4 linked regions of the Drosophila melanogaster genome follow. The protein of the gene in region 2 interacts with the protein of the main gene of each other region in a pairwise test. Each region holds a gene or a part of one and is shown on either strand. Other genes may lie near its edges.

Evidence for each region.
Region 1: the proteins of SkpA (region 2) and CG7148 interact in a two-hybrid assay, tested with the Drosophila melanogaster proteins (2 studies listed by BioGRID).
Region 3: the proteins of SkpA (region 2) and CG4911 interact in a two-hybrid assay, tested with the Drosophila melanogaster proteins (2 studies listed by BioGRID).
Region 4: the proteins of SkpA (region 2) and CG9316 interact in a two-hybrid assay, tested with the Drosophila melanogaster proteins (2 studies listed by BioGRID).

Annotation. Positions count from the first base shown.
Region 1 is NT_037436.4:21,829,918-21,834,522, forward strand, and holds CG7148 (uncharacterized protein), read right to left. Parts: upstream 2,337-4,605; 5' UTR 2,180-2,336; coding exon 1,629-2,179; intron 1,570-1,628; coding exon 873-1,569; intron 816-872; coding exon 699-815; 3' UTR 627-698; downstream 1-626. Other genes in the region: Nopp140, read left to right, coding at 2,962-3,060, 3,263-4,605.
Region 2 is NC_004354.4:653,625-658,490, reverse strand, and holds SkpA (SKP1-related A), read right to left. Parts: upstream 2,378-4,866; 5' UTR 1,707-2,377; exon of another isoform or gene 1,393-1,706; 5' UTR 1,382-1,392; coding exon 893-1,381; 3' UTR 592-892; downstream 1-591. Other genes in the region: Hmt4-20 (histone methyltransferase 4-20), read left to right, coding at 4,408-4,866.
Region 3 is NT_037436.4:9,066,505-9,075,031, forward strand, and holds CG4911 (uncharacterized protein), read right to left. Parts: upstream 6,228-8,527; 5' UTR 6,127-6,227; coding exon 5,984-6,126; intron 5,398-5,983; coding exon 5,242-5,397; intron 5,184-5,241; coding exon 5,079-5,183; intron 5,018-5,078; coding exon 4,201-5,017; intron 4,144-4,200; coding exon 4,012-4,143; 3' UTR 691-4,011; downstream 1-690. Other genes in the region: CG4942 (uncharacterized protein), read left to right, coding at 6,703-7,167, 7,225-7,815; teq (tequila), read left to right, coding at 8,275-8,325.
Region 4 is NT_033779.5:20,723,176-20,728,252, forward strand, and holds CG9316 (uncharacterized protein), read right to left. Parts: upstream 3,377-5,077; 5' UTR 3,282-3,376; coding exon 2,687-3,281; intron 2,632-2,686; coding exon 1,931-2,631; intron 1,873-1,930; coding exon 1,822-1,872; 3' UTR 1,797-1,821; intron 1,737-1,796; 3' UTR 1,034-1,736; downstream 1-1,033. Other genes in the region: CarT (carcinine transporter), read right to left, coding at 4,444-4,717, 4,793-5,077.

The sequences.
Region 1 (4,605 bases), on a different chromosome or scaffold from region 2:
TTCATTGGAGTTCTCCCCAGGGAACTCGAGTATGTCTCCGCTTGAAACCGCTTTGCAGTCTTCTATGGTAACTGGAAACTGGACTCGGTTTAGCTAGGTGAAGGACATTAAGGAATCCGTACTCACAATCGCTGTCCGAGTTTTCACCTATCGTATCATTGTTCCTCAGGATCTGCCTGATATGTACAGCACTGTTTTCTTATGCTCTGAATTCAAAAACGTTTTTCAGCTTGAAATGTCAAATTTAATAATTTTTGCCTGCAGATTAGATATCCATAGGAGCGGGAGTTACACTATCGATTGCATTATAGTTTTTGGGGAAACAACAAGTTGACTTCCAAACTACAAATTATATCTTACAGTTATTATACCTGGCAGTAGCAATATACATATTATCAGGGGTATTCAGCTAGCTATTTCATAGCTATAAATGATTCCCAGGGAACAAAGGTAAAAATGTTGCACGTTATCGTCAGCTCATTTTCATATTTATTTTATTAAAACAAATTTATTTAAATAATTTAACTACGGTGCTCTTTGTCACTACGTGAAGGACAGCCTTAGAAAACAACACGGAAGTCCGCATGGAGCACTCAAAACTTTGAAATAATAATCCAATTTGGCGTACTTTGTGCAACATAAATTTTAATAATAAATTATTGTATGAATCTACGCTTGTATATTTACATATTTTGAGGTCAGTGAAATTCAAATTGGTATCCGCGGTCCACAAAGCTCAGACCGCGTTCCGAGTCGACTGGAAAGTCGGCGGTGAAGACAATATATCCTCTATATTCCAAAGAGCTCTTTAGGTTCTGCAATGGATTGATTGATTAGATAAAAGAAGAGCGACATAAACAAGAAATAGTAACCGCTCTATCCACAAAGTCCTCAAAGCCACTTAGGTCGTAGTAGAGCTTCAGAGGTGGCGAACGTCCAACTCCCGTCTTCTGCTTGAACGGCTCCCGCCGCTTAAGAATACTCAAGGCCCGTGGCAAAAATGTTGGCGTCAGATTTCGGCAGTAGGACACGTCGAGGTGTTCCAATCGTGGACAGAGTTCCACGAATTCTAAGAGGATTTCGTCGCTTAGGTCATTCCAGTTGCGCACGCAGAGCAGCTGCAGCTCTGTCATACAGGTATAGCGCTTTAGGTAGTCTGCCGAATGAGTCCAGCTGCAAATGGCCAGGCGCTTCAGCCTGCGATGCGTCCAGATGGGCAGCTTCTCATCCCAGCCCGGTTCAAGGGGCATATAGTACCCGTCCACGGCAAAGCCGACGATGTCCTTGGCCTTGAAAGCCATGATCTCGTAGAACTCGCTGACCTCGCGGATCTTGTGGTCATAGCTATCCGGACTGACCAGCGGGGGGATATGCCACTCGTTGTCCAGCAGCACCACCAGTTTCCTGAGGGAGGGCAGCTCCAGAACGGCGGGTAGAATGGGTTTCAAGGTGGCCAGATTGAGCTTAAGATCAGTGAGGTTCTTAAAGCTCTGCAGGCAGTTTCCCAGCTGAAGTTTACTGATCATATCGTACGTCCTAATGTCCAGGACCCGAAGATCGTGCAGCGTGCTGTGGCGCAAACGGAAAATGAGTTGCGAAATATTATGCAGCAGAAGGTTACTACTTACCGGCACACCTCGTCCAGGTACTTCTGCTGCAGCTCAAACGCCTTGTGCTGGTCCTCGTAGAGGTGCAGCTCCTGCAGGTGCTGGAAGTTGGATAGGTACCGCCCGTCGATGGGTGTGGTAAGGCGCAACTTTTTCAAGCCCGGCAGCAGGCGGGCCAGCTTGCGGATGCTTCGGTTCGTGGGATAGCAATCGACGCCGTCTGGGTCGTAGTAGAAGCTGGTCACCATGGGCAGCTCTGCAATGTGCATTTCGTCCAGATCTTTTAGAATGGAGCACAGACAGCTGCTGCCGCCCATTTCTCTGATGTACGGACGCATTTGGGTTAGGAAGTAGACCAGGTCTTCATGATTGGGCAACAGTACCCGCCACTTCTCCAGATCCAGTTGCTCGTAGGCATGGCTGGTGCGCCACTTGCTCAGACATATGTACTGCACTCGCCGGCAAGTCCTCGCGAAGGACACTTCCGACGGCAGGTCCTGCAAGCGATCGAAAATCTCGGCCAGACAGTCGTCGTCCAATTGCAGAATTAGGGATCTCGGCTCGGAAGCCATGGCCCGGGATGCGATCCTCGCGACACAATCTAGGTACAGAGTCTGTTAAAATAGCCGGAGCGAGAGATAGTTTCTGTATTCTGGATCGTTTCAAGCAGGTCAACTCAATTGAATAACAAACAAAAATACATTTTGGTGCTCCCCCAATGTGACCAGTCGTGGATGGTCTGAATACCTCACGCAAAAAACGTAGGTTCCTTACATTATGTTATATATACGCTAATTGTTTGAATACAATTTAATAATACAGTTTAGTAATTTATATATATATACATAGACATATAGACATATATATATATAACAAATTTAACAATACAAATTTATTGTTATATATGTCTATGTATATATATATATATATATATATATATATATATATACAAAACTAAAATTACAAATTTATTGTTATATATGTCTACATATATACATATACATATATATATATACATATATATATATACATAGACATATATAACAATAAATTTGTAATTTTAGTTTTGTCTAACGTAGCCTAGCGTTATTTCTAATTTCAAGATCTTTGTCGGTGTGGCATAAATAAATGATTACAATTGATTGGCATTTTCGAGTTATTCTTGGGAAGAATACCCGCTGCATTGACAGTGTTGAGAAACGGGGTGCAGGGGTGGCCACACCGTTGGCAGCCGCGTAGTGCTGCCATACCACTGATAAGTAGAAAACACGTGTGAGTGCGCATTCTTTTTTGTGGGACAAGCGGCTAGTAATTATTTGCGGACGGAAAATATTGACGAATAGTTGAATTAATCATGACAGACCTGCTAAAGATAGCCGATGCAATCGTCCTGGAGTACTTGCAGTCCAAGGACAAGAACCTAGCCAAGGTTTTCCAGCAGAAGACGAAGGCGGTAAGTTTCAGTGCAGAGCGGCAAGTGCAATATGTGCGGTTTGGATGCACCCGAAACATGTGGTATCTGCGTCCTCCTGATCTAGAATCCGAGGGCCTTGCTGTCCGCCGATGGCTCATCGAGCTGTCCACCTGCCACTTGCTGCAAGTGCCACGTGCTTCGTCCAGATAACCAAGAATTTCTGCCTTTTTCTAACTTGCAGGCCAGTGTCGCCAAAAGCAGCCCAAAGTTGAGTGAAATCCTTCAGTTCTACCAGACCAAAAGCCCCAAAAAGATCCCAGCAATCAAGGCGACAGCCGGAGACTCCAGCGAAGACAGCGACTCAGACTCTGAGTCTGATGCGGCGCCTAAGAAGCCAGCGACAGCTCCTGCACTAACAAACGGCAAGGCTGTCAAAAAGGCAGCTTCTTCAACCAGCGAGGACAGCGATTCAGAGGAGGAGAAGAAGCCAGCAGCAAAGGCCACGCCGGCCAAGGCTGTCGGCAAGAAGGCAAAATCCTCCAGCGAGGACAGTTCCTCGGAGGAAGAAGCACCCAAAAAAGCTGCTCCAGTGAAGGCACCTCCGGCCAAGGCGGCTCCCGCGAAGAAGGTTGAGTCCAGCAGCGAGGATAGCAGTTCCGAGGAAGAACCGGCAAAGCCCGCCGTCAAGGCCACAACGACTAAGGTTGCTCCCGCCAAGAAGGCCGACTCCAGCAGCGAAGAAAGCAGCTCCGATGAGGAGACTAAGCCAGCTGCCAAGCCTGTAGCCAAGGCTGCACCGGCAAAGAAAGCAGCATCCTCCAGCGAGGAAAGCGACTCCGATGACGAGCCAGCCGCCAAGAAGCCTGCCGTCCAGCCTGCCGCAAAGCCAGCTCCTAAGGCAGCCGCTTCTAGTTCCGAAGACAGCAGCTCAGAGGAGGAGGTCAAACCCGCTGCTAAATCTGCTGCCAAGTTGGCTCCTGCTAAGAAGGGGGCTTCCTCTAGTGATGATAGTTCCTCTGAAGACGAGGCACCCAAAAAGGCAGCAACTCTCGCAAAGCCCATTTCTAAGGCTGCTCCCACCAAAAAGGCCGACAGTTCCACTGAGGATAGTTCTTCGGAAGACGATGCTCCTAAGAAGGTAGCTCCAGCAAAGGCTACGCCAGCTAAGGCAATTCCTGCCAAGAAGGCAGCTTCCAGCGATGACAGCTCCTCGGAGGAAGAGGCGCCCAAGAAGGCAGCTCCAGCAAATGCCACGCCAGCTAGGGCACCTCCTGCCAAGAAGGCAGCTTCCAGCGATGACAGCTCCTCGGAAGAAGAGGCGCCCAAGAAGGCAGCTCCAGCAAAGGCCACGCCAGCTAAGGCAACTCCTGCCAAGAAGGCAGCTTCCAGCGATGACAGCTCCTCGGAAGAAGAGGCGCCCAAGAAGGCTGCCGCCCCAGCAAAGGCGACACCGGCCAAAAAGGCCAAGTCTTCAAGCGAAGACAGCGACTCCGATGAGGAGGAAGCTCCCAAGAAACCAGCCGCGAAGGCCGTTGCAAAGGCTGCTTCTTCGGAAGATAGCGATAGCTCAGAAGACGAAAAGCC
Region 2 (4,866 bases):
GTCTAAGCCAGAATGGAATGCGCACAAGATAATTATCTTTCGAAGTATTCATAATTTCAAAAGCAAACAAAGACAAGGTTAATATGAAAATTATAAATATCCCCCCGTTCTTCGATTCTTACAAAATTACTGCTTTCTTCTAAAATCCTAAAACCATGCTGTACCCCAGACGATATAAAAAAAAGATATATAAAGCGTCACAAATCTAATTTCCACACCCGTCGTAGCTTTTTAAAAGCAACATGAAAAGCTTTTTAAGGGCTGCTAAACGCTCCGCATATGAGAACATGCGTTGGCGCGCATTTCAATTGCACACTAAGTGGCAAAGTGGCAGCTACAGTATTACTCGCTATTCGCCGAAAGCGTGATCTTATGAATGTAGTTTCTATAGATAAGATAATCTAAGATATATATGTACCTTCTTGGGAACACGTAAAATTTTACCGACTGGACCATAAATGGCATGCGTATCCATTTCAAACGCTTGCAAACGTTTCTAAACACAAGATAACGAATAAAGAGCACTTCTTAATTTGAGAAGTCCTTGGACCCTAACCCCTCCGGGAAGCCCACAAAATAGGCTGTGTCTTTGTGTTGGGTAGTTATATTTATTAAAGTGAAATCAAGTGTTACTCCAATAGGTTAAAGAGAGTGTTACAATCTCGCATATGTATGTATATGAGATATATTTACGACAAAAAATGAACCCCGCGAATCAAATCAGCAACAGATCATTTATACACAATTTAAATCGAGTCTCTGCTGGGGTTAAAAATAAAAAAAAATGTAAATGAAAGTAGCAACTAAGTAAAGTTGCAATGCTGCAAATCCAATTCGTTCCCGAATCCCCTAGCTGTTTCAACTTAATGTTGGTCCCGCGAAATGCCGCGCTTTACTTCTCCTCGCACCACTCGTTCTCCTTGCGCACCTGCTCCTCCTCGGCGGGCGAAAAGTCCTTCTTAATGTTGAAGGTCTTGCGTATTTCCTCGGGAGTCTTTCCCTTAATCATGTTTGCAACAGTCTTGCAGGTGAGCTCCAGAAGGCCCTTAATGTCCAGATAGTTCGCTGCCAATATCAGCTCAAACAGTGTGCCCTGGTCGACTTTTAGGAAATCTGCATCCCATGAGATAATGTCGTCTGTGCGCTTCTCCTTGCTCTCATCATCCTCCGTTGGCTGGGGGTCGTCCTTGTGGTAGTGAGCCCAGGTAAGCACCTTGCGAAGAATCGTCGAATTCACATTGGGCAACGGCACAATGGCATTCTCATCGTCCTCCATGCCGCAGTCCTCCAGCATGGTCTTGATAGTGCCGGAGCACTTGGCGATCTGGATATCCGTGTCAAAGATCTCCTCATCCGAAGATTGCAACTTGATGCTGGGCATTTTGGGCTTTCCTGCAGTTAAGTTCAGTATAAAACATTAGGTTCTAGTTGAGAAATGTGTGGCAGTGCAATCAGTGTGTTTTTTAACAGTGTGTGGATCCCAATAGTCATTTCAATGCGTTTGCTTCGCATGCACCAAGTCGTCAATTATTGATAACAGATGTAAGCATATAAGCATGCGTGTAAATGAATATAAGCAACTAGGATGCAAACAATCATTTGTGAATTTTGTATGTTCATATCCCTGCAGTTTGCAGAGTCGCTCTCTTTAAAATTCAAACCGACTAAAATGAGGTCATATCAGATCAAAATTTGTATCGTATTACTCTTGCAGGTTATGCCTGTGTGGAAATCACCGTTGTTTTCGTACAAAGATAACAAACGATTGTGCACTTTCGATGTTTCTTTCGTGATGATTCAACGATGAAATGGTGATGAAGGGATAAGTAGAATCGAAACATAGAGAACGGCACTTTCCAGAAATGCTCACCCACACATCCACTCACCCCCACACAAGCCGACTCTACCACAGATGGATGCGTGCGTATGTTCGTTTTTCTTGTGGTTGCGAAAGCGTTCTTGCTTGCTATTTGTAGGCTTTTTATTTGTTTTCCGACTAACCTTACGATGATGCCTTTAAACGTACTGACACTATTTCCACGCAGGCTCCAACTGAGATATAAATCAACACACCAAATTCACAATACTCACGTAAAAAACGAAACGGCTATAGTGACCAGATGGCGAAACTCTAAAAACACCTCTAAACGTCTTTATCGAAGGCACGAACAACAACTAGCCACAATGAAAGAAAACTGGCGGGAACCAGGTGGACCTGGTAATGGTAACTTGCAGCACAGATTGGTGGCGAAGTCGAAAGCAGAATACGCATTGATAAATCTGAACACTTTCACACCGAATTGCACAGTAAACGGAAATTAATTTCTCTGAAAACAAATTACACCGATACTTTCAAATGGCGAATAGAGAATGGTGAGCGTCTCCGCTAACTGCGGTGGCAGTTTTAATCGTAGCAATCGATGGCATTCAATTATCGATACATATCGCACTGACTTCAGTGGTCGAAGCATCAACGTCTTTTTACATCACTAATCCGAGTATCGCGGAAAAAAAGCAGCCGCATTTTGTAAACTAAGTCCGAATTAGAGCTGATACAAGTCCCGACTTATTCGTCAAGAGGAGCGGCGGTAGCAAATAGCAACAGCGACACTTGGTGCAAAGAACGCAGAGGAGAAAGAAGTGAAAAAAGCATACATACATACGCACGTACACACGTCTCGCTAGTAGAGGGAATATATGTATATGCATACGGCTGGGTTTACGTGTGCTTGTGTGTGCTACAGCCGCTTCTAGGCGTGAAAGAGCGAGGGATACATTCTCTTCCCATACTCGCGACTTTTGGAGCGTCTCGCGAGCGAAAGAGAAAGCACGAGCCATGGACGGCGGTTGGAAGTTTTTGTGGAACAAAGGCGTCAAGAACTAAAATGATTTGGGACTGCAAGCGCGATTTATTTTGGGTACGCAGCCAAAGCCAAGCCATCCAAAACGGAGTCCAGCTCCAATCCAGTGTGTCGCCGTTTGTATATGTGAGTCTCGACGAAAAGCCGTGGAAAGAGACGGACACACGCACAGAGAAGCAGCAGACAAAGCATCGTTTTGCGAGATTGAGCGAGAGGCACAATATCGCCTTAGTTAATAAATTCATTTAAGGTAAATGCAGACAACAAATCGAAAAAGTGCAAAAAAAAAATCGGAACAGCATGAAGTGCATAAACACAGCAGACTGTGCGTGCATGTGTGTGTGAGTGTGTGTAACAGGCGCCGCCATTTTTCGTTACCATGCAACCAGCCAGCGTCTAGGGTTGGCAACCGCTTCGAAATGCTGTTAACAACAAAAAAAATTGGCGAACTCAAATTACAAAGCTACATCCACCCAGCGAAATTTATTGTAAACACCCGTTTTTCGGTTACCCCGCACACAAGTGTACTTAATTTGCAAGCCTTTGCGCACTTGGCAACCCTTCATCTTCCATTCTCACTGCGCATATGCCTCCCTCTCTCTCTCACCTGCGTTATGTGGTATGCGTTTGTAAACAGCTGAGAGAGCAATTTGCAAACGACATTCGTTTCCATTCAGAACAAATCGACCAACAAACAAATATTCAATTCCAGCGATGTTTCCCAGCACCACCCACTTGTGTTTATGATAGTTTATGCCCAGAAAGGTATTTCAGTTGTTGCACAGACTCAAGAAAATACAAGATTTGCAATTACTGTCTGCTGCGCATGCAAATCGATAAGACATTTTTGTTATGCTCGCCTTTTGTTCACCAGCATATAAATATATACGCGTACCCATTCATTTTAAATATTTTCGGCAGTAAGTGTGTGTATTCCAGGATTACCGAAGTGCCTTTTGTTTTTTGTGGATCAATACTTTTTTTTACATGTGCTTTCAAGTTAATTGATTTTTGTTAAACGTGTGTGTGCATGGGCTAAAAGGGCTTGGAATAAGTGCGAGCGAGAGGGATGGCTGTCGACGACATCAGTTACAAGCCCCCTCTTTCTCGGTCTCTCTCTCTCTCTTTCAAACGCGAAGCCGTAGGAATAAAAACTAAATTAGGGCCATTTTCAACGGAGCGAATATATTGGCAAAATGCCGGAACATATGGTTTGCGGATTGAGGATTATTGCAAGTCATCCAATCCTGTGAGAGAGTGTGTATGTATGGGTGCAGGACGTTTGCCTTTGTCCTAGTCTTGTCCTGAAAGCTTATGTCCATCTCGCTCTTTGTCGTGTTCGCAGACAACAGCGGCGTTGCCAGATGTAATAAAAGAGCTTATACCTGTCAGTGATTCAAATTCCAAAACAGCTGACAATTGCCGGGTTGATTGGGTTTGGTGGAATTGGTATATCTAAGATCGTATTAGTATTTGAGTGAAAAAGTGTGCACATCGTTTTGAATATACTTGTAATGCTGTTCATCCTTGCAGACTGTCGTGCAGAATGGTCGTCGGCTCTAACCACACGCGGCGCGGTGAAACTGGCAGCAGATTTACAAACAGCAGCAGCTCCAGCAGCACAAGCGGTGGCCCCACCGCTTCGGCCAGTAGCACCACCAGCGTAACGTCTTCACTAGCCACCAATTCCACGTCGACATCGACGGCTGCGGCTCTGTTGTCGTCCATGTCCCACAAGAGCCATGGCCCTCCGCCATCCGCACCTCCATCTGCACACCACCAGACGAACCAGCAGCACCACCAGGTGGCCCACAGCCAGCCACATGCCACCCATTACCAACAGACAAACCAGCACCCTAGCCACCATCACCAGTCCCATCAGTCTTCGAACGGCAGTGGCGGAGGATCTGCTGGATCGGGATCTGGATCTGGATCGGTGGTTAGTGGACTCAATGGTTGCAACGGCAGCGCCGTCAGCCGCCTATCGCAATCCACTGGGATGTCG
Region 3 (8,527 bases), on a different chromosome or scaffold from region 2:
TGGACGAGTCACTTTTCCAATTGGCACTATCAGTTCAATGTTTACTATTTATTTTGCTTACTGCAGCGTTTGGCCCAGGCCAAAACTATCAAATTTGGTCGAAAAAGCGCTGCTGACGCCTTTCGCCGGTTGTCTGTCGTGGGCAAATAAATCCAGATAATAAACTCGAGCGTACTGTTCAGTCATTCATTCAACAGCGCTATCTATTTTGCAAAGCCCACTTAATTGGCCTGGGTGATGATGATTGGGGTCTTATCGCTCGCCGAAGACTCTGCAGTTTGAGAGCCACTGCAACGGCAAAGATGCAATGGCAAGCGCACAGAGTCCGTGAATCCCGTGGACCAGGTTGCATAATGATACGTACAGCTGCTTACATAACCGCGGCAGCGAGAAAGGCGACCAGAAACAAGGTCAAAAGTTCAAGGACTGAGAAAAGCTCGAAAACATCCTGGAGCGCTTGCGTTGCTCAGCGGAAGTTCCTGCGAGTGTGGGTGTTCTGTTTTTGTTGACAAAAAGTTTTTATTATCACGAATTATGTACTTTTAATCGGCTACCTTCGGCCTACAGCACTAAATATTGTATAACACAACCCATGAAGTATGCAACGAAAATAAAGATTAAAGCACTTGAAAAGGATAACTTTCGAGCCCCTTCCGTAAATAATTAGGAGCACAATTTTGATTTAAGTTTCAAACATTTTTTATTGGTTTTTCAATTGAATGCATTTTGTTTGCTACGCTTTAATTGGTTTATATATCTTGGTTGTCTTACATTGTAATGATATTGCATATGCCACACAAACTGCTGTTGGCCTCGGTTGATTAAGCTTTAAAATCTTGCACAAAACATAATCATTGCAAATCAAATGGAAATTGACTTTGAATAAAACGCTTGCTTTCATATATTTTAAGCTATGTGCATTTTGTATGTGTATTATTTTACTACATATCGATATATAATTTAACATTTGAATCATTCTCATCTTCACTTTTCATCCTGACTGGAATATCAATCTAATTCCGCACGCTGTTGATTCACTCAAACACTTCGGTTCAAAACTTTGGTTCCCCCGCGTTCGTCCTTCGTTAACCCGCTAAGCTAGCTACTACTGGATCTGATCCGATCTCCTATAGTTCATTTTGAATTCTTCTCGTTGGCCATTTCATTTCAGATGGTCCGGTCGGTACTTATACTGGTTCTTAGTTCCGGAAAGGTTGTTAACATACTTTTGTTGGTCGCACACGTTTCGAATTGGCTTGTCTGTTGTTTTTGTAGTTTAATGTGTTGGTGTTATCTTTGTGTGTTGTCGGTTGTCGTTTGCCCTTTTTGTTGGATCTTGTTGTATCACAGCTTTCTTCACTTTTGCTCTTATAACTTTTAAGCATAACTTGCATATACATATATATAAACATTGCTGTTAATGCACGGCTGTCATACATATCGTCTTTCGGATTTTCTACCCTCCTCGCCCATGTCACACTTGTTGTTCCCCTGAATGTCGACATCGAGCATACCCTACATACATACATATATTAACACCCTGACTTGTTGTTATTCTCGATCAACAATTATCTTAAACTTGGTTGGTCTTTTTTCCTCCTTCTGTAGTGTTGCTACTGGATCAGTACATACGTTAGCATAAATCGCATTGGTTTGTTGTGGTTGTGGAATGGTTTACAAAATTCTTTTCGCTCTCATCGAATTTAAATACAATAAATGGCATATAAAATATATTTGTTTTGTAGTAAGTATACCAAAAGAACGTTACTCATATACAGCAGCGTTGGAAGTGACACTAGTATAACAGAAAAACTTAATACTTGTTTCATTTACGTTGATTGTAATTGAATGAATCCATTGATTGACAATTAGTTCGGGCTGGATATTGAGCTAACGATCTTTTACAGTCCTAGCTCTATTTTATAGCTTTATGACACATTATTTTGGCTAATAGCACTTTCCTTTAACTTTTTACAAATCGAACTCCTCGATAAACAATATTAGGAGTTTACTCTTTTTCTTATTAATTTAATAACGCGCTGTGAGTACTTTTTGAAGGCAACTTCGAATTCAATTGTAGCTATTCAATTAGGCGGTTAATTTGGAAAATAATACTATAGAAACTGGTGTATCAGGGAGCTATAAAATAGAGCCCATATAACCTATATCCCCCATTAATCTGGCCCTGTCTTTCCAATGCTTACTACCGTTCTCATTGCTTCAATAGTGCAGTATCTTAGGTCTTATTTTGCACATTATGTTGTTCGTGGAAGCAGCATGACACTTTTATCACATTTGTTGTTGGTGTTGGTTGTTGTGTTTGGTACGTACTAGACTTAAATTAAATGCACAGCCACATACAAACAGGTCTGGTTACATAATGTAGGCCGTCGATTTGCAATCTCTTTATGACCCAAGACTCTGTTCTTGATTTGACTTTTCTGTGGCCGTGTTGCGGTTGCTGTTTGACAAACATTCTTAGTTTGCTTCGCGCTTTACACATGAATTGAACTCGTTTTACAAAAAATAATATTTGCTATTGCAGTTCATAAAAAATGATTACATGCATTGGTTACATATAGATACATTCATACATACAAATATAGATGGTCGATTGGATAGTTGTAGGAGTTATCTGTGAGATCGCATTTTGTTTGCGGTTGTTACTTGTCCCAGAAACCAATTGCCATCCTCCGTTTTGCTCTGACAACAAGGTCAACACCATCTTTATCGTTCAGTCTTCTGTTTCAATAGATTTTGTGTTTGTTTAGATTGTTACATTTGAGCAAGTACTTTGCGGTTGTTGTTCGGTTGTTCTCTAAATGCTCGGCATGATCTTCAGGTACCATTTTTGTTGTTGTTGCTGTTGATGTTGTCATTGTTGCTGTTGTACTTGTTGGTCGGCAAGCATGTCTGCGGAGGATGAGCCGCGGCTCGTAACAACACGCTGCTGTTTTGTGCAAACATAGGTTAAATATAGTACATAGTTGTATAATTAATGCCTGTGCTACAAAATACTTAAGAGTTGGATTTGGGTCTTATAATTGCCTGGCTTTTTGGCCCGTTTATCTGGCCACAACGCATGCACCACACGCACGACAGCTATTTCCTTAGCTCCATTTGGCTATTACATACAATACATATATATCTGTGTGGTGTTTTGTATTTGCTTACATTTTGCTTTGCTGTTGCTGGTAATATCACTTTAAACTACACAAATGGCGGCGCTTAGCGAACGAGGATCTAGCTCTCGTTGTTGTTACATTTGCTTATGTTGTTGTTTGTTGGTTTATCACAATTGAGCGCCAGATTCTGTACTTATTCACACTACTACAAAGGTTAACAATTTGTGCCAATTGCGTCGTTTTGAGCAAACAATTTGACATTGGTCGTAGTTTTGGTTTTACAAACATTTTCAACACTTTTTGTTACTTTAAACTTAGCTAACTAGACAATTCGCTTAACAACTTGCTGTTGTCGTTTTTGTTATTCTTTGTATGAGAGCTGGGTATAGCATTTGCTTTCACACTGGCTTGCATTTGCATCTGCTGCATTCGCTTGAATCACAGTTGTTGTTGCTTATAAAATGATGTTTCTCTAGCAGGTTTCAACAAACTCATCTCGCCCCGTTACATAATTACATAAATTTGTGAAGTGCTCAAGTCTTTTGCTTTGCTCCTAACATTCCTGTCGCTCTTGATCTGTCGCTTTTGTACTAATAAACAAGGGCTAATCGCGATTTTGATTACAAAGGCTAAGAAATTAGGAAAATTTAACATCTATGAAATGCTCGCCAATCAAAAGGTTTGGTGACGATTATGACGATTAAATTTTCTTTTTGCTTACATTATTCTTTTGGGTTTTTTGTTTAGCTACGTAATTAGGTTTTGCAATTTATAAATTAATTTCTATGCGCTCGAGTTGATCACGTGTCATGTTTTCATTTCTTTCGTTCACTTGATGACTGCTTCAATTTTTGGTTATATTTGAGTAGTTTCCTATTTCGACCACTTACTGGCGGAGATCCTGGCGCAGCATTTCGTACACGAACTGATCGCGTAAATCGTTGTCGTAGAACAACGATGGCGGCATTTTGTCAAAGCTGATGGGTGACCATTGTTGTCCCAGTAAGGTGCTTATCTCCTGAAGGATAATCAATTAAGTTACTCGTTTAGTTACAGGACGTTTTAAAGAACTCACTTCATTGTAGGCGTTCAGCAAAGGAGCGCCTGACCAATCGATCATGGAGACTTCCAGACGCTTTAGCTGCCGACCCCGAAGACGGGCAATGCCCACGAGGTTATGCGGATCCATCAAGTACCCGTGCACTACGATCTCCTCCAGCTGTTTGCAGCGCCAGGCCATCATTACGAATGGATCCTGGAGTAAAGAGACACGGCGACTGGAGTTCATGCGATTGGAATATTTGTACGGCGCGTCCACATAGTGAATGCTGCGCAGAGTTTCCCTGTAATGCAACGACATCCAGTCCAAGGCTTCGGCGTTCATCTTTTCGCAGAATAGCAGTCGCACATGGGTTACAGGCATATTGCTACGCAGCACACGATGCTGCAGTAGTGCGATGGCCTCATAGGCATACACAAGGGTCAGCACCAACTCAATGCTCGAAAAGTGATCCGAAAAGTTGGACCAGGCCGTCTCCGACACATCGGGATGCTCTTCGCTATCCAGGCCGTGCACTGCGATCAAAAGTTTCCGCAGCGGAAGCACCTGGATAGTGTGCAGCAGTTCGTCAGAAAGTGTGTCGTAGTCGAGGGAGAGCACCTGCAGGGCGGCGCATTTCTGCAGCAGGGTCGAGTCCAACGAGAGGATGGGATAGTGACTAGGATCGTACTTGATGCTCGCGAGTGTCAGCTGCAGCAGTTCCTGTGGTTTTCCCATAGCCTTTAGAAAATCATGGCCATAGTATGAGAGGGCCTCGATGGCTCCAAGGTCCAGAAGCTGGCAGGGCTGACGCTTGCGGCTTAAAAACAGAATCAACGGCTCCACAAAGCATCTGTTGGGATTGTCAGGATATCTAACTATTGAACTTTTTATTTATTTCTAATGGTACATACTGTTCGATGGCCAACAAGTGCTCGCTATGCATGTTTCCGATGGCAACAAGGCCGACATTGTGGGTTTGGAAACGCAATTTCTGGATGTTATCACAGTGCGCCACTCTGTGGGATGGAAAATGGTTAGGTTGAGTCCTCATTGGGTTTTCTAAAGCAAACTTACTTGTATAGAAGTCCTCGCATTTTCTGGATGTGAACTGCATTTTGAAAGTCGAAGACTACTATCAGTTCCATGGCCAAGTTGGCCATGGAGCGATGGAAGAAGGCCAACTGATCATCGCATCCCACATCCAATTGAAAGCGAAAGTTTCTAAAATAGCTGAGGGGTGAAAAATAGGTAATGATTAATTATATATAGATGTAAATACTAAATTACAAAATTGGGCTTATTTCTTTTCTATTTGTTAGTCCAAAAGACCAATATAATTAATTTAAATAACATAGGAAAATTACTATAAATACAATAAATGAATCAGCATAGAAAAGGTAAGAAAAATAAGTATCTTTCTCGCAATCGCTAAGATCGCAATTTACAGCTCACAGCTTATCGCATCAATTAATTTAATTAATTGCATTTATTGGCAGGGGAATTCCTCTTATCGTGGACTTTCCCCTTTTTTCAACACTAATATAAACAAACGGACCTAGGTGCTTGCCCCCACACATTGAAAGCTTGCCAAATGCGAAGAGTACAACATATAAATGTCGAACAAGTTTTGGGGTCTACGATTCGTTCTTGCTTGCACAGATGTTTTTTTGCGCTTGATTAACCCACGGCTATATAATGTAAGGGGCAATAACAAAGGAAATATACCCAATAAGTACTGAAATTAAACATTTCAGCCACATACACAAATACCTACACCCACACGGATACGGACACACCCACACAGTGACAAACTTACCGTTTTTGAAATAAGGCATGTCTCCAAGAAAAACATACACCCGCTGCCGACCGACGATCCTGGGGATTTAGATAGTCGAATATGTGATTTAGTGCCACCGATGGTATTCTGTGCCATTCTGGTTGGCGTTGGCTAAAATTCATTACTCGATTTAAATGTTAATTGCGTTTCAAACAATGAAAAGTTGCAAGTGCAGCCGAGTACGCTGCACAATTTAAAATGCCAAATTAGAGTGACCGTCGCACGAGGTCGCAAATATGCCAAGACCAAGAAAACAAATATGAATACAAGCACAATTTTATCTTAAGCATATACGTATGAAATTAAACGTCAATTAAAAAACAATTTATGCACTTAAATTAGGTCTAGCCATTTTAAGTAAGCCGAGATAATTATTAATTTAGAAATTTCAAAGTGAGTAAAAATGCAAAGGAAATAAAAGTGTTGCTGTCGTATAAAATGACTGTATAAATTTTGTTATTGTTCTCTTATCAACGATTAAATGATTTCAAATTAATAACTGCATTTCAATGTTTCCTAATTTCGGATAGCAAAAAAAGCATCGTAAGTTAAGGGTTAATGCAACTACAATGCCTAGCTACGGCCACACTGATTGAAGCCGTGTTATGGTAACAATCAGCTGTTCACAATGATAACAACTCGCACTGCTGATTCTATATAGTTGTTTACGTTGATTATTAGTTTTATATTAATTAAAAATGTCAGCTTTGCTTCTTTTACGCACCTGTAGAAGTTCATCAATTGCTGGCATCTACAAATACACATACCAAGGAACAACTATTGCGAATCACACATGCAATCATCGTCTGTCGTCTACAGAAGCGGCGGCCGCGAGTGTCCAACTGGCAAATGCCGGTGGATTGGTGGGATATTGGCAGACCTTGTCCAACAGCACGCCGGTGGCCTATATGCAGGATGTTCTCATTAAGATCCACGACTACAGTGGCCTGCCCTGGTGGGCGTCCATCGTGCTGTCCACTTTCCTTTTTCGGAGCGTGGTCACCCTGCCTCTGACCATTTACCAGCACAAAATCACCGCCAGAATTGAAAAGATAGCGCTGGAGATGCCGGCCATTGTGGAGGAACTGAAAAAAGAGGCAGCCATGGCCAAGCACAAGTTCAAGTGGAGCGAAAAGCAGACTCAGATTGTTTATCGGCGTTCGGTTTGTTAAAATTCAAATGTTTGCGAGACACTCTTCGTCATGTCAATTATCTTACAGATCAAGAAGCAGTGGCAGAACCTTATAGTTCGGGATAACTGCCATCCCATGAAGACCATGATTGTGCTATGGGGTCAGATTCCCCTGTGGATCTTTCAATCCGTGGCTCTGCGCAATTTAGTGTACATGCTGCCGGATCCCACGTCCATTCAAGCTCAAATCGTGACCACCGAAATGACCATTGGCGGATTTGGTTGGATACCAAACCTTACGGTGGTGGATAACTCTTATATCCTGCCTGTAGCATTAGGTCTTATCAATTTGGCCATCATTGAAGTGCAAGCCATGTCTAGAACTCGTCCTTCTACACGCTTGCAGAACATCGCCAACAATGTGTTCCGTGGATTGAGTGTTGTGATGGTTCCAGTAGCCTGTACAGTGCCTTCAGCTTTATGTGTATACTGGGTAGCTTCCAGCAGTTTTGGCCTTGCTCAAAATCTGCTCATCCTCTCGCCGGAAGTGCGACGATCTGTGGGAATTCCCAAAACACAAACGGAACTCAGTGAGCCGTACGATCTGCTCTGGCTAAAAATACAGCAGAGGCTAAGACTTGCCGAGAGGGCGCCGGCTGATAAGCCGGCAGCCAAATGATCTAGTCTCTTAGTCATAATCACCTAGTCTAATTTGGGTATGACGTTTAGTTTGTTTAAATGCGACTGCGCCACTGTAATTCATCATCATCATTCTTAAGCTCCAACATCTCAGATTCATAGAAGTAAATAAATGAGTGAAAAACCCCAAAAGAAATGCAAACAAAACAAGGCGATAAGACAGCAAAAAGGTCTTGAGATTACAAGCCCTGATAGTGTGGTCCACTCAATTGGTTTGGCGACAAACGAGAGCATCTATCAGCGGCGGCAGAGATAGAGATTCATCCCGAGTCCAATTGAATTGAAATGCGATCTGGGTGTGGGTCAGTCGAGCCTGGAATTCGAACGGGATCACAACGAAGAATTTAAAGCGCGAGAAAAACAATTGTGTAGTTGCTATCAGCATCGGTGCATTTTAAGAAATATTTAAATTCAAATACTTATAAAGCGGAAACGTAAAATGATGGCCAAGTGGCTCCTTGGCCTTTGGCTGGCGATCCTGCTAGTGGATGTTAGTGTAGAAAGTTTATTAATAATTTCAAATTGTGTTTTTTAAGGATATCATCTAGATTCTAGATTATTTACAATTTTTTAAGATTTTAGTCAAACTAAAAATGTTGTTTAGGAATTTAAAACGCGCTTAAGACTTTAATTTTAATTGAACTTAATTACAAGCTATTAGCTAAATTTTGCCTCTAATTACTTACGGTTGT
Region 4 (5,077 bases), on a different chromosome or scaffold from region 2:
AATATATTCAAGAAATTGATTAGAAAGTTGACACGGAAATGGGATAACTTCTCAAGATATTATGTCAGGCATATTGTCAGTGTTGGTACTTAGCTTAATTGATGAAAAATCGTTATAAATTATAATCGCTGCACTTTCCCTTGTGCCTTTTACTTCCACTCACTCCGCTGAAGCGAAAACCCTAAGATTCCGCCCCTTTTCGTTCGGATTCTTCCCAGACGTTGGGCGATACCAAAAGTTCATCCATCGAGAGGTGTGCTAAGCGATAGCAAAAGCCATTTCCCATAATCGCAAGCCACCACAACAACCCCCCCCCCGAACAACAACAACAACAGCAACATTAGGAACAACAACAAAGTCACCGAGCAACAAACAACACGAATTTCTATGGCATCAGGGTAACAATTTTAAGGCTTGTCTCTCTTATGAAATACGACAGCCCAGCGAGATTTTTAAATAATTCACAGGCGTGATTGGACACGCTTCGAGTATATAGTAGTAGTATCTGCCAGATACGATACTGCAAAGGGGCAGGGTACGCCAAATTATCCCTGCTTAATGTGCCCCACTCATGCAAACCCTGCTCCTCCGGATGAGCCGAAGATGCCACCGCAACTTGTGGCCAAATGTCAGCAAGCTGCCTGCTCTGCTGGTCCAGTTAAAGTACACTAATTAGTCAGATAGCCGAGCATGGCGGACACCTGAACATGTCAAGGCATTCGCCGGGGTGCCCCTGGCCACCAGAACCCCTGCTAACCCACTGCTAACCCCCTGCTAACCCCTTCTAGCACCGTCGATCGGAGAGTCGCGGCGATTGCAGCCGCCGACAGCCATTTAAGGAGCCACTCGAGGTCAGTGTAAAACAAATAGCACACGCAAAAAACAATCAAAACGTATAGATGACTAACCAGTGGAGTAGTGGAGTGGCCACAGGTGAGTTCGCTCTACGATCTGCACTGCAAATAATTCTAGAGAAAAGGTGTCATACCAAATCACACAAAAAACCTGTGAAGAATGACTGGTTAAAAGATTTAATTGAACCCAACTGGACATATGTATTATAAGAGTCCTGCAAGATACATTAGTTCTATAATTAAACAAAATGTTTTCTATTTTTCCAAGTGTAATCAACTGGACGCGGTCACTTAGCTTCCTGCTGCTAACACAGACATCATCGGCCAACAAAGCAACAAAGTTCAGTTCCAATAGAGCAGCAATTGAATGCGAAATTTATTGCCGGCGATCGATCGCTTGGATCGAATTGAATCGCGGATTCAGAACTGTATCGAATATCGCGTATTGTTCGATTTCGGTTTCCATTCGTTTGGCTTGTTAGCCAGCCGCTTGACGTACTACAGCCAAAGGCCCAAAGTGCAGCGACACGACCCACACACGTTTGTCCGCAATTATCGGCGTTCTAATGGAGCATTGTGAGCATTGTGATGATCATAAATTTCGATCGTCCACTTCCTTATGGCAGCCATGGGGTCATGACTCATCGATCCAGTGAGGATCCCATTGTCTTAGCTATCCGCGCTCCAAGGCCATCGAATGTTCCACTCACGGAAGAAGTGCCCACCACGTCTATTCCCTAATCCAGAAATCACAGCTACGGTTCCTTATGGCAAAAATAATACTTGCACTCCTTTTAAACTGATTTTTATTAATAGAAATCAAATTTGATTGGTTTTGGGCAGTGTCTCTCTTGATATTTGATGTTCAATAAGAAATGATTCCTTGGCAACACAAAATTTGATCAAATTATTGCAACAATTCATAGACATTTATTTTCTTACCATTTTCCATTCGAGTGGTGTCGTTTTAAATAAAATTAACCTTTAGACGATTCAAGGAATTCACGTAATCCGGATGCTGCAAAATATGAAAGTGTTAGTATATGCTTTCGAAACTCCCGCCCCGGTTTTCCCACCGTCAATATAGGCCGCCTGATCATGGTTCCCTTTACATTGAGCACCACATCACGACCTGATCCCTTCGAGCAGAATCCAATGGCCTGGATCACAAACTCCTCGGTGATCTGCTCGCAATCGGTCAAATCAATAACTTTCAACTGGGGACACTTCCGCAACATCCTCATCATCCCCACGTCCATCACCCGACCGCACGCGGTCAGACCAAATCGCTCCAGCTGGCTGAGATCGTTGAAGAACTTGAAGTGATCGTCGTCCAGGATATCGTTGTTGCTGAACCGCAGATCCGTGAGGCTACTCAACTGTCCCAGGCACCTGGCGTGCTCATTGGTGATATTGAACTGACCGGATAGGTGCAGATGGGTGAGCTTGTTTCCTCGTTTCTCTGCCAGAACCGTAAGGAACCCAATATTCAGCTCGTTGGAGGTCATCCAGGTTTTCAGTGTACAGCGCTCCAGCTTGGGCAGGTTGGCGATTACCTCGAAGTTGGTGTCGCAGCCGGAGAAGATCAGTTCCACCAAGTTCGTGCAGCTCTCGGCGATTTTCTGGTACAAGCTCACATTCATAACCTCGAAACAACAGTCGTCGAGATCCAAAGTGTGCAACGACTTAAGCGGAATTCCAAACTCCATCGAGTTCCATAGCAGACAGTCTCGAAGGACCAAAGTTTTGAGATTGGGAAAACCGCAGAGATTTTGGCCTGTTGCGAAAATAAAGTCCCGCAAACGCATAAATAGAGTGCAGTGCATACCTACCTGTATAGCAACCATTAACCAGTTCAAAAAACTCCAGCTCCTGGTTGGGCTGCATATCAAAGTTGAGCACATCCTCTGCATCCAAACACTCAATAGTCACCCGTTTCAAGTGCGTCATTTTGGACATAATCGATCGGTAGTGAAACTCATCGGTGGCGTTCGAGTAACTAATCTCCTCCAGATTGGGGCAGTATTCCTTTACGAACTCCACCAGCAGGGACTCCTTTTGGTAGGACGCACAGTCCACTTGAAGGACTCTGATGAAGGGTCCCGCCACCTTGAAGAACCTGATCAATTGCGGCAGAGGCACCGTCTCCAGACTAACCATGTCCAAAGCATTTCGTTGCACTCTCGCCCAGCCCTCGAAGGCCGCTCGGAACTTGGGCGCCACACAGGCCAGCAGAACCTTATCGGTAATCCTGGGCAGAAACTCGAGAACCAGTCGGATGATGTCCTCCGGCAGATCAAGCAGACTGGTCCTGCATAATGGCGATGGCGATGGCGATGGCTCACTTTTTTGGACTCCACCCGGGCGATTGGAGCGAACTGGGAATGGAGTCTTCACTGATCTCGAATGCGTTTTCGCCTTAGGCATTTTTTGGATTATTTGCTTGTACGTAAATTTAGATTAATTCATTTTTGACACTGCCCAGATGTTATGATAGGAAATAAGGGAAAATCAAGCTCGACCTTGTGTAACCGGGTAAATATTAGAGTCCTGATACCGTAATTCAAGATCCAAATCTAAATACTCCAGAGATCTATAGGGAAAAAGACTAGGACAAAGGACCATCTTAACGAATCTTTGGATTTGGAACTGCGTACTGAACTTAAGTAGCAATATTAAGAAACTACATTTTTGCTTGCAAGATCTCCTTGGTGTCAACATATTTGTGATCTGATCCAGCATTATGAATTCCCATGGGTCCAGGCACTTCCTACGGTTGACAGTGACCGCCAGCAGTTTACGGTCGACAGGTGGGGGCAATTTCGCGCATTCCTCTATTATTCACCGCATGAGCAAGTTTTCTTTTTGTTTGACAACAATTAATTGCATAATTGTCTGAATAAATGCATAAATCAATTACCGGTGATTGAGAAGTCGCCATACGATATACGCTACACGTACTTATTTATTTATTTATTTTTACCGGATATGTTTGAAGAATTAAGTTTCGGTTTTTGTTTACAAAGCTTTTGTAATTCACAAAAGCAAACAACTTAGGCATAATGGCAATGCCCTATAATTAATGGAAAAGTAATGGAAAAGGAAAAGAAAACTGGTATTTAAAGGAGGAAATTGTTATAGATTTAATTTTAAGCAGTTAAAGTATGCTGCTCTATTTGCTCATAGCAAATACTTCTAAAACACGGAATCAAAAGCGTTTACTTAGAGAACTATTATTTAAATTATAAATAAATTAGTAAGCAATTAAATAGTGCTGTTATATGTTAAGTAACTTGTTGAAACATTAATTTCGTTATTTTTCATACAATGACAATTGCTAACATTGTGCTGCAAAAATGGTAAGTTTTTATGATTAATTATATTTGTATGTTTGTTTTTAAAGAAGTCTCTGCCCATAGTTCTATATTTAAAAAGATATCCCTTAGCGTTAAGCAATAGATTAGTAAATAGTTTATATGCAATCATTTTAAACTTTAGCGAAAACAAAGAATAGCCTTGCAGTTTATCTAATTAATTTTAAGAAATCTCTTCTAGATGTGACAATACATTAGATTTGTCGCTACAAATCTTAGATCCAATGAGTCAACTGCATGGTGCCATCATGCGTCCTCTGGGTGTCCATGACGCTCATTTGGCGCACTAATCGCTTCATCGAGGGCCGATGAACAGGTCGCCCACTTCCACTGGCCGTTGTGTCCAGGGGCGTACGCTCGTCAATGCGGGGAGCCGGCTCCCGAACCCGTCGACTGTCCCGCAGCTCCAATTCCACCTCAGAAGCATTGGTGGAGGATCCAGCCAGGACATCCAGGTTCTCGTACGACGCAGGTTGAGATAAAATCTCTCTGCAAAAAGTAAGCACAATATATATTAAATTAGTTTTATACCCGCCTTGGTCACCACATGCACATTGAACTCACGGCTTTTGAGCGCATCTACAGCAATCTTTGAACTGCCAGTTCTTGCCAAACTCCTCGCCCTCCTCGATGGTCTGCGGCAAGCGATGATGCAGTGTTTCCGGCAGCCGCAATCCCGTCATGCCGCCCAGCATCGAAAGGAAGCCCATGATGACCAAGGGCAGTTTAAGATTGTCCTTTCCCAAGTAGGTAATAAAAGGTATGCCAATGAGACCCAATCCTCCAATATAACTGGAAGCACCAATGCCGATACCCCGAACCTGAGTGGGATAAAGTTCCCCGGCAAAG